Daphnia pulex: one gene and its partner. The protein of the gene in region 1 binds, or shares a complex with, the protein of each later gene. Links are inferred from orthologs where the notes say so. Each region holds a gene or a part of one and is shown on either strand. Other genes may lie near its edges.

Region 1 (4,481 bases):
GCTTCGAAAACCATGTCGTAATCCTGTGGCGGAATAACACCACCGACGACTACGAGAATATCTGATCTGCCCATCTCTTTCAAGACCTTAATCAATTCGGGTACAAGAGTCCGATGGGCAGCCGCCAGCGATGAAACTCCGACGACGTGAACGTCAGCGTCGATGGCTTGCTGGGCAACTTCACGCGGAGTCTTTTAACAAGTGAAAAACCATTAAGTTCTACTGGGGGGCACCCGGAATAACGAAAGAGACACACCTGGAATAGAGGGCCGATGTCGACATCGAAGCCAAGGTCAGCGAATCCAGTAGCGATAACTTTTGCGCCACGATCATGTCCGTCTTGTCCCATCTTGGCGACCAGGATGCGTGGACGACGACCTTCTAAGGCCACCAACTCATCAATCTATCACGGGAATCGCCCTCGCCGGTTGAATTATCATTTGGAATTGACATGCAAATTCAAATTTGGTTCAACCTACCTTTTTGGCGACTACTTCAAACTGCTCCTTGTCGGCGAATTCACTTTTATAGGCCCCAGATATCATCGTGTCGTGCGCTACGTGACGACCAAACACCTGTTGGTTACCAAGCCCCATTTTTAGAATGCGTAGAAATCAAAGAAGAAAAATAAAGAAAAGATTTTTCCTACTTTTTCCATGGCTTGGGTTATTTCGCCTACGGTGCAGCGAGCACGAGAAGCCTCGACGGCCAAGGCCAATAAATTGCCCTCGGCACCGGCAGCGCAATCTGTTATCGCTTTGAGACACTGTTCTGCCTTGGCCGAATCACGGGTTGCTTTAACCTGCAATAAATAATTGAATAACAGATTCAATATTTTAGTTTAAATGTTTGGTTAGCAAAGTAGAATTTACCTTGTTGATTTTATCAATTTGTTTGTTTCGAACTTCTTCGTTGTTGATCATCAAAACGTCTACTTGTTCCGGGTTCTCCGGTTGATATTTATTTACACCCACGATTGTTTCTGAATAATTCAAATATTTGCGATTAAGTTTTGCCAGTCAGAATGGAAATAAAATAAAAGTACCATAGCCGGAATCAATTTGAGCTTGGCGACGAGCTGCGCATTCTTCGATTTTCAATTTTGGCCAGCCAGAAGCTACAGCTTTGGCCATACCACCCATTTGCTCCACTTCATCCACAATTCGTTTTGCTTTGTTGTAAACCTCGTCAGTTAGGTTCTCCATCATATAACTGCCGGCCCATGGATCAATGATCTATTGAGAGAACTTCCAATAAATATATAAAACAATTTTAAAACATTTTAGATCTAACTTTTGGTATTCCTGTTTCTTCTTGTAGAATGATTTGTGTGTTACGAGCGATGCGGGAAGAAAACTTGGAAGGCAAAGCCAAAGCTTCATCAAATGAGTTGGTGTGAAGGGACTGGGTGCCACCAAAAACGGCAGCCATAGCTTCAACTGTCGTGCGGACAATGTTATTATACGGATCTTGAGCAGTCAGTGACCAGCCAGACGTCTGACAATGAGTCCTCAATGCCAACGACTTTTGGCTCTTTGGACTGAAATTTTCCTGGAGCAAATGAGCCCAGAGACGACGAGCTGCTCTTAGCTTGGCGATTTCCTGTTCAAAGCACAGATAATTACAAATTCAAGGGATTTAAAATGTTACAAGATTTGTTTACCATGTAAAAATTCATTCCAATGCCAAAGAAGAAAGAAAGACGTGGTGCAAACGCATCGATTGATAAACCTGATTTTAAGCCTGTTCGACAGTATTCAATGCCATCGGCCATAGTGAATCCCAGTTCAAGAGTTGCAGTGGCACCAGCCTCTTGCATGTGATAACCAGATATACTGATTGAGTTGAACTTGGGCATTTTCTGTATGTAAAAATGATAATAATCAACAATACGCCGAATGATGGCCGACATCACAAAAAATTTTGGTACCGCAGAAATGTAACTAAAGATATCACCAATGATTCTCATGGAGGGAGCTGGAGGGTAGATGTAGGTATTTCTAACCATGAATTCTTTTAAAATGTCGTTCTGAATCGTCCCTGATAAGAGTTCCGCTTTCACACCCTGTTAACATATTATCATTACCAGCTTATTTATTTTTAAACATGTATTTGCATACCTGTTCTTCGGCAGCAACAATATGCATTGCCAAAACTGGAATCACAGCCCCATTCATTGTCATAGAGACAGACATCTTCTCTAGAGGAATACTATCAAAGAGTGCTTTCATGTCCTCAACACTGTCAATAGCCACTCCAGCCATTCCTACATCACCATAAACTCGTGGATTGTCAGAGTCATACCTAACATACAAAGAATATTAGGTATATCAGAAAATAAAGACTAAAACATGTTTTTACTAACCCACAGTGAGTGGCAAGATCAAAAGCCACACTCAAACCTTGTTGACCAGCCTTAATGTTTTCTTTATAAAACTTGTTGCTTTCCTCGACTGTGCTGAAACCTGCATACTGTCTGATTGTCCATGGCCTTTGGGAGTACATTGTAGGATATGGACCACGAGTATAAGGAAACTTTCCCGGTAACTCATGTTCAAGCCTGATTGTTTTAAAAGATTTAGGATTTCTTATGATCAGTGAAGTTTAATAACATTTTATTACTATGTACCCTTCAACATCCTTTTTTGTGTAGATTGGTTTCAAAGTGATGTCTTCTGATGTATACCAGAGAAGTTCTTCCTCTGGATTTTTACCTTTCAACTGTTTTTTTGCCAAGGCTGTCCACTCAGGATCAAGAGGCTGTCTATGCAAACATCTGAATTGGCTCACCTAAGCAAAAGATTTATGCAATAAACTTTTTATCAATGTTGGAAAATATTTTTCTACTTGCGACGCTGAGATTAAACGAAGTGAGCTAGAATATCTCAAAAGAAAAGAAGCCATGGCAACAGACAGTTTCAATTATCAACTTTTTGTTACAATTGCGCCTTATCGAATAAAGAACGTGTTGGAGACGAAAACAAATGGAGGGAAATTGTGCAGCAAAATGTAAACACCGCAAAACACTGGTGGCCTAAGAAATTTCAAAATCGTCTGCTAGTGGAGTTTAGTTGCTCGTATCTAAAACGGCCGCTAGATGGACGTTTAGGTAAAGAATAACGCGAATTTATGAATAATTTTCCCGGAAATGACTGTGTGAATACCTAATGTATTTCCTCTTTATGAAACTATAATATCGTGATGGTAATTACACTTCCCATTCCGTGATGGTAAACATCTCCCATTTCCCCCATCTACTTAACCTCCGCGTCAATGAATTTAACTCTTATTTTATATTTCTTATGAATTTATGATGATCTACAAGTCAAGACTCCTAACCGGAAGTTTTTAAAACGCACAAATTGGAGCACGTTCAAATGCACTTTATATTTCTGATTTACGTATAGTCGTAATTATTCCGGGAATTGAAACAATTTGCAATCTTCAAAATTAAAACAACAATTTTCTCAAATACTCAAATAGACCAATTTAATTTTTTTGGTTCGAGTTCAAAGTATAATCAGATAAAAACCAGGAAGAGTTTTTTAGGACTGACCCTGGTAATCGAAGGGTGGACGGCTTACGTCCACCTGACACTGTCAATACAAAGCGAACAGATAACTGGACAGACATAATGGACTGAAAGGACGTGTTTCGATATCAAATAAAAATGTTATCAAGTTAAAAAAAAAAAAAAAAATCTGGAATTAAGGTAAACGTCATGGCCAGACAATAGTTCAGTACTTGTCAAGCGTCGCTTTCGCAAGTAGCAGAAAAAATGGAAACTCGAGTGAAAGTTTTCGGCTTTTTTGATATTCTTCTTGGCATAACGATGATTATGACAGAGGTAAGAAATTTTTTTCCAGTTATTACAGACTATACTTAATTATTTTTTCGGTGAATGAATTCATTTAGTATTCAGCCATTGTGATGTACTCTCTACCAATGGACACGACTGGTTCGGGTTTATGGGGAGGAATGTTCGTTATGGTAACGGGAGTTGTGATCATTAAAAGGTTGTAAATTAAAAAACTAAAAATTGCGGAAACACCGTTTTAAATGATTCATGTATGACTTGTTCAGGCACAACATTATGGTCCTAGTTTTTTCCATTTTATCAGCCATGAGTGGAATTATCATGATCTGCCTTTATATCTGGTCTTTTACTTTGTACGGAGACATGATTTCTTCCGGGTACACTTGTGGTGCGACGTTGTACATGGGGCATTCTATTTGTAAGGACCAACAGAACATTGAAATCTTTCTTATTTGAAATTTAAAATGACTCATCTTAATTATATTTTAGGCAGCCGCATAGCCCTGGATTCGCTGTTCCTCATTTACGGAGTAGCAGCGCTCTGTATGAATACAATATTAATTCACGATGCTAAATGGATTGAACCCCACAAAAAACAAAATGAAGCACCCGCATTGACCAACATTCCAGTAGTGGTCACCATAACACCCGCCGCGACCAATGG
Region 2 (4,291 bases), on another chromosome or scaffold:
GACATGGCCGGCTTTGCGGTCAACATCAAATTGCTCCACCAGTTTCCCAACGCCACCTTCGTTTATAAAGTCGGTTTCGAGGAGGACAGCTTTTTACAAGAAATAGTCACGGATGTTGGTTTCATTGAAGCCAAAGCAGCTAACTGTACCCAGGTAGTTCAACCTTGTATCATTTAATTTGTCAGAAACTAAATTGAAAACAAATTTTATTTTATTTTGAACAGATTTTAGTGTGGCACACTCGTACCGTTCAAGTGCCTATGGCCATGTTACAGCCACCCACCCTTATTATAGACGATACTTCCATTTCGGGACTGCTTCACGCTTTAGACGAAAATAAACTAGCTTCTTTCTCTACTTCAAGAGGTATAACATTCATGTTGATTATTGATTATTGAAATATTGTCTCATCTTTTTATTTTGAATTACCCAACAGGAAAACCCAGTTCTGTGCACTATCTGACAGATGTCTGATATTAATCACTTTCGCCTGGCGGCGGAATTCAAAGAGTCAAAAATTATATAAAACTTCCTGTGTTTACTCAGTGCCATTGGAAAAAATAAGACTTAAAACTACGAGATTGTCGACATCGGAGAAATTGATGGGAATGTGTGTAACGCCGAGTGAAAACTTTTTATGAAAAACGATTGCATCGTCGTCATTTGTAGGTTTTTTTATTTGCAAGAAAAAAGAAAACGAATTACCGTGTGCCCTTTATATACTCATTTATGGATTCCACCTGTGATAGTTTACAAGAAAAAAACAATAATCAATCGTTCTTCTATTGCAATTCAATCTTCCTGATGGCGTAATTTTAGTCGAGATTTTCGAGTATAACATGGAATCTTTTTTTAACTGCTTATCCAGACAAGATATGGAATTTAAATACAATGATACTAATGATTAAATCTGAATAATTTCTCTAACAATTCCTAGTGTAAATCATAACAGCGTAGGTAAATTCTGGTTAAAGTGTTAAGAAAACAACTTCAACGTAAAATATGAGTGTACTTAGCTACTACTAAGCAACTGTATACATTCACCTTCCAAGTAAATCTATTTGAATAATCAAAACATTTTATCAGGTACGAAATGATGCAGTAATATTTCGGCAGCTTCGCCAGCTGTCATGCAGCCTTGTTCGACATTCTTTTCCATTTCGTGGATGTCGCGCTTGACTCGGGGATCCTCGCGAAACACCTAAAGACGCCAGAAAAACCTTCAAACATCAAACTGGGACACAACTCGGTCGACTACGAACTATACCTGCATGATATGCTGAGTGATGTAGTTCCACATCCAAACGCGCTGCTGCTTGCGACGCGTTTCCAGAAGCTCGCCCGTTCTCAACATGGTCTGGTGGAACTCCTGCATGACGGCCCATAACTCGGGTAGTCCTTCTTTGGTTAGCGAAGAGACTTTCAGGACCTAAAAACAGAACGAAATGTCACTGAATTGATTCAAAGATTTAATTACATGGGTCAATACTTTCGGCCGCCAATTCGGTGATATTGGTCGCATGAACTTGAGTGATGAAGTGTATTCGTACTGCATTCTCATCGCGGCTTCCATCAAATCTCCATCGGCTTTGTTCACAACTACCAGGTGACTGTGCTCCATTATACCGCGTTTCAACCCCTAAACGAATAACAAAAAGAGATTTATCATAAAGTGGAAGAAAAGCTAATTGAATGGGGTTTTAACCTGAAGTTCGTCTCCTCCAGCCGGCGGAATCAGAACAACAAACATGTCGACCATATCCGCTACGGCGTATTCAGACTGTCCTACACCTAAAAATTGAGAACACAGAAGCTGCTGTTGACTAGTTGATATTTGGCAAGGAGATGGGAAGCTTACCAACCGTTTCAATGAAAACCGTCTTGTAACCAGCAGTTTCGCACATAATTATGGCCTCATTTGTGGAACGAGTGACACCACCCAAATGTCCACTGGTCGGCGACGGACGTATAAAAGCATTCAGGTCTCGTGAAAGTTCTTGCATTCTTGTTTTGTCACCCATCAGTGATCCTAGTGAAATCTGAAAAGTGAATTTGATCTATAAATTAATTTTGCTCACGGCATTTTGGATGTACCTCCATTTGTGGTAGAAGATGGATCAACTGCTAAAACAGCAATTTTTTCCCCCTGACTGGTAAGAAACTTGCCCATGTTTTCCAGGAATGTTGATTTTCCGGCACCTGGTGGCCCTGATAATCCTGAAATTGATCACAAAGTTAATAAACAATTTTGTTTCTCGTAAATTGTAAAATCTAAGCCACATTTTATTACCGATCCGAAAACTGAATGAATTGTCATTTTGTTGACATTGTTTGCAGTGCTGCAGAGCTTTCTTCAACAGGGATCTGGCCTGCAATCGTTTTCTTGGATGGGTTGACTCTGTTAAAGTTATTGATCTAGCCAAACAAGCTCTATTCGACGATAATAAACCATTATAGAGTGTATCTACAACATTTTCCTCCCGACTGTCAAGTTCTTGCGATGATTGAACGACGATTTGAAATGATCTCGATAAAGTATGAATATTTTTTACTGACGTCCTACCACTCCCACCCGTTAATATATTATGTCCATTCAGAATCTTGTATGCCCCAGGAATAAATTGTCTAAGCATTTTATTACACTCACAACAACTTCAGTTTTAAACTCACAATTTTGAGGTCGGTTTAATATGAGAGAATTTTGAATTAAGTAAAACGTAAACAAGTTGTGTGTTATTAAGCAGACGACGATTTGCAGTCGAAATAAACAACACAACATCGATTGCCTCCTCGCGAAAGGCTAAAATGCGGAATCCATTGTTGCAGAATTTCAAGGCATTGGAAATTTGGAATAGAGTTGGCCTAACGTCCGAAGTTGCCAATTTTATTTAAGCGTCAAAAAACGTTTGTAAACGACTAAACGTCCCGCGGCACGGCGGCAGTAGGTTTATTCCTGTTTGACTGCGTATTTTTATCCTGGATTGGTCATTTTAAAAAAAGTTTTAAGTTATTAACGAATGATGGTATATTGGTATTGGCAGATTGTGAAATATACAAATTGCATTTTTTAAAAATCTATATATTGATCTACATATATCTATAGTTGATGTCTTTTTAGTTTGTTTTCGGTCGTCTGTAACGGCCCACGTTCGTATGAATAGGCCCAGCAGCCAAATGAATATAAAGAATGCAGTTACTTTTTGCCTATTCCTGTCTCTCTTTCGGTCTTTCCGAATTGAATATCTTTATTTAATTATTTGACTTTGTAAGAGTAAGAAATGACGGCGCCGCTGTCGATTGGACATGTGTGGTATTGCATATTCCGAGAAAAAGAAAGCCCACTAGTATACTAGAAAAATAAAAAAGATCCCGACTCTCTAGAGATCCATCTGGGTTATCGGAAAGAATGTCCGTTGGCTTTGTTTACGCATTTTATTTTAAGGGTCTAGAGATTCTGAATTAACGGATGTTCAACACCAATTTGACGACCAATAACTAATTGGTAGGTACTTAACGAAGTTTCTAGGTTGGTAAAAAACATTTAACATTTCAATTTAACACTTTTAAACGGTACATTATCAGCCCGTTTAGTCTTCTTCCGAGGCAATTAGAAGGTCATCGCCGGAGAAAGCGCCACTTGTTTCATTGGAACTAGTCGGTTCACAACATTCTTTCTTCGTCATTTCTTTCTTCATCAGAACTTTCTTCGTCAGAACTTTCTTTAACTTCTTCCTCCTCATCCCGAGCACGGTTTCTCATAATTGTGCGATAAGATCTAAGTTCGGCTGGATTCAATGTCTAAATTACAAAATTCGATTACATAAAATTAGTACAAAAATGGAACGCTTGAAATTACCCTGATGAATTTTTCAAATTCGCGAACGTAGTCTTTATGCACCTTTTTGAGTTCTTCAATGAACTTCTTCTTCTCTTTCTCAGACACCCTTCCCCAAAGAACCTCGATTTCAGCATGAGTAAGTTGACCCAATTTGGAATGATGCGTCATAGCGTAATAAGCAGCAGCACTCCTAATAATGAAAAAATATTTCAATGGTACCATCACTCCACAGTATAACAGAAATTTCAATTACGCTGGTGGTTTAAGTGGTTCAGTCATCTTCTCTGCTTTGAATAACGATTGATGACTGGCCGCCAAAGAAGATGATTTCAGTGTTGTTGAAGCCATTTTTTCTGTTGATGACTTCATATTGGAATTGATTTGGGAAGGTGGTTTGTCAGATTTCGAATCAGCACTTGCCGCGGATTTTTTCGACGGCGAACCAGTGGAACC

Evidence for each region.
Region 2: the proteins of methylmalonyl-CoA mutase, mitochondrial-like (region 1) and methylmalonic aciduria type A homolog, mitochondrial-like are in contact, whole or in part, in a crystal structure (PDB 8GJU), measured with the Homo sapiens proteins. The link is inferred for Daphnia pulex from reciprocal best matches to the Homo sapiens genes MMUT and MMAA. Residues at the interface, in NP_000246.2 of Homo sapiens: Lys496, Glu609, Arg610, Glu611, Gly612, Arg613, Arg614, Arg616, Ala635, Thr636, Ala639, Asp640, Gly642, Phe643, Asp644, Val645, Asp646, Ile647, Gly648, Pro649, Leu650, Phe651, Gln652, Glu656, Gln659, Gln660, Val662, Asp663, Ala664, Asp665; in NP_001362573.1 of Homo sapiens: Arg98, Ala99, Ala102, Glu103, Thr106, Glu109, Ser110, Thr111, His112, Ser182, Ser186, Gly187, Gly188, Ser189, Leu190, Leu191, Lys194, Thr195, Met197, Thr198, Ser201, Arg202, Met204, Tyr207, Ile208, Arg209, Pro210, Ser211, Pro212, Arg214.

Annotation. Positions count from the first base shown.
Region 1 is NC_060028.1:10,601,306-10,605,786, reverse strand, and holds the start of methylmalonyl-CoA mutase, mitochondrial-like, read right to left. Parts: upstream 3,079-4,481; 5' UTR 2,905-3,078; coding exon 2,848-2,904; intron 2,791-2,847; coding exon 2,630-2,790; intron 2,561-2,629; coding exon 2,366-2,560; intron 2,305-2,365; coding exon 2,121-2,304; intron 2,066-2,120; coding exon 1,931-2,065; intron 1,862-1,930; coding exon 1,664-1,861; intron 1,603-1,663; coding exon 1,294-1,602; intron 1,236-1,293; coding exon 1,046-1,235; intron 983-1,045; coding exon 873-982; intron 803-872; coding exon 650-802; intron 576-649; coding exon 480-575; intron 404-479; coding exon 257-403; intron 192-256; coding exon 1-191. Other genes in the region: uncharacterized protein LOC124210015, read left to right, coding at 3,779-3,847, 3,916-4,016, 4,084-4,235, 4,307-4,481. UniProt on the Homo sapiens protein: Catalyzes the reversible isomerization of methylmalonyl-CoA (MMCoA) (generated from branched-chain amino acid metabolism and degradation of dietary odd chain fatty acids and cholesterol) to succinyl-CoA (3-carboxypropionyl-CoA), a key intermediate of the tricarboxylic acid cycle.
Region 2 is NC_060024.1:5,534,188-5,538,478, reverse strand, and holds methylmalonic aciduria type A homolog, mitochondrial-like, read right to left. Parts: upstream 2,794-4,291; 5' UTR 2,634-2,793; coding exon 2,291-2,633; intron 2,218-2,290; coding exon 2,095-2,217; intron 2,030-2,094; coding exon 1,859-2,029; intron 1,792-1,858; coding exon 1,706-1,791; intron 1,640-1,705; coding exon 1,490-1,639; intron 1,430-1,489; coding exon 1,268-1,429; intron 1,202-1,267; coding exon 1,070-1,201; 3' UTR 710-1,069; downstream 1-709. Other genes in the region: galactosylgalactosylxylosylprotein 3-beta-glucuronosyltransferase S-like, read left to right, coding at 1-153, 225-366, 437-474; nucleolar transcription factor 1-like, read right to left, coding at 3,661-3,798, 3,857-4,028, 4,092-4,291. UniProt on the Homo sapiens protein: GTPase, binds and hydrolyzes GTP. Involved in intracellular vitamin B12 metabolism, mediates the transport of cobalamin (Cbl) into mitochondria for the final steps of adenosylcobalamin (AdoCbl) synthesis.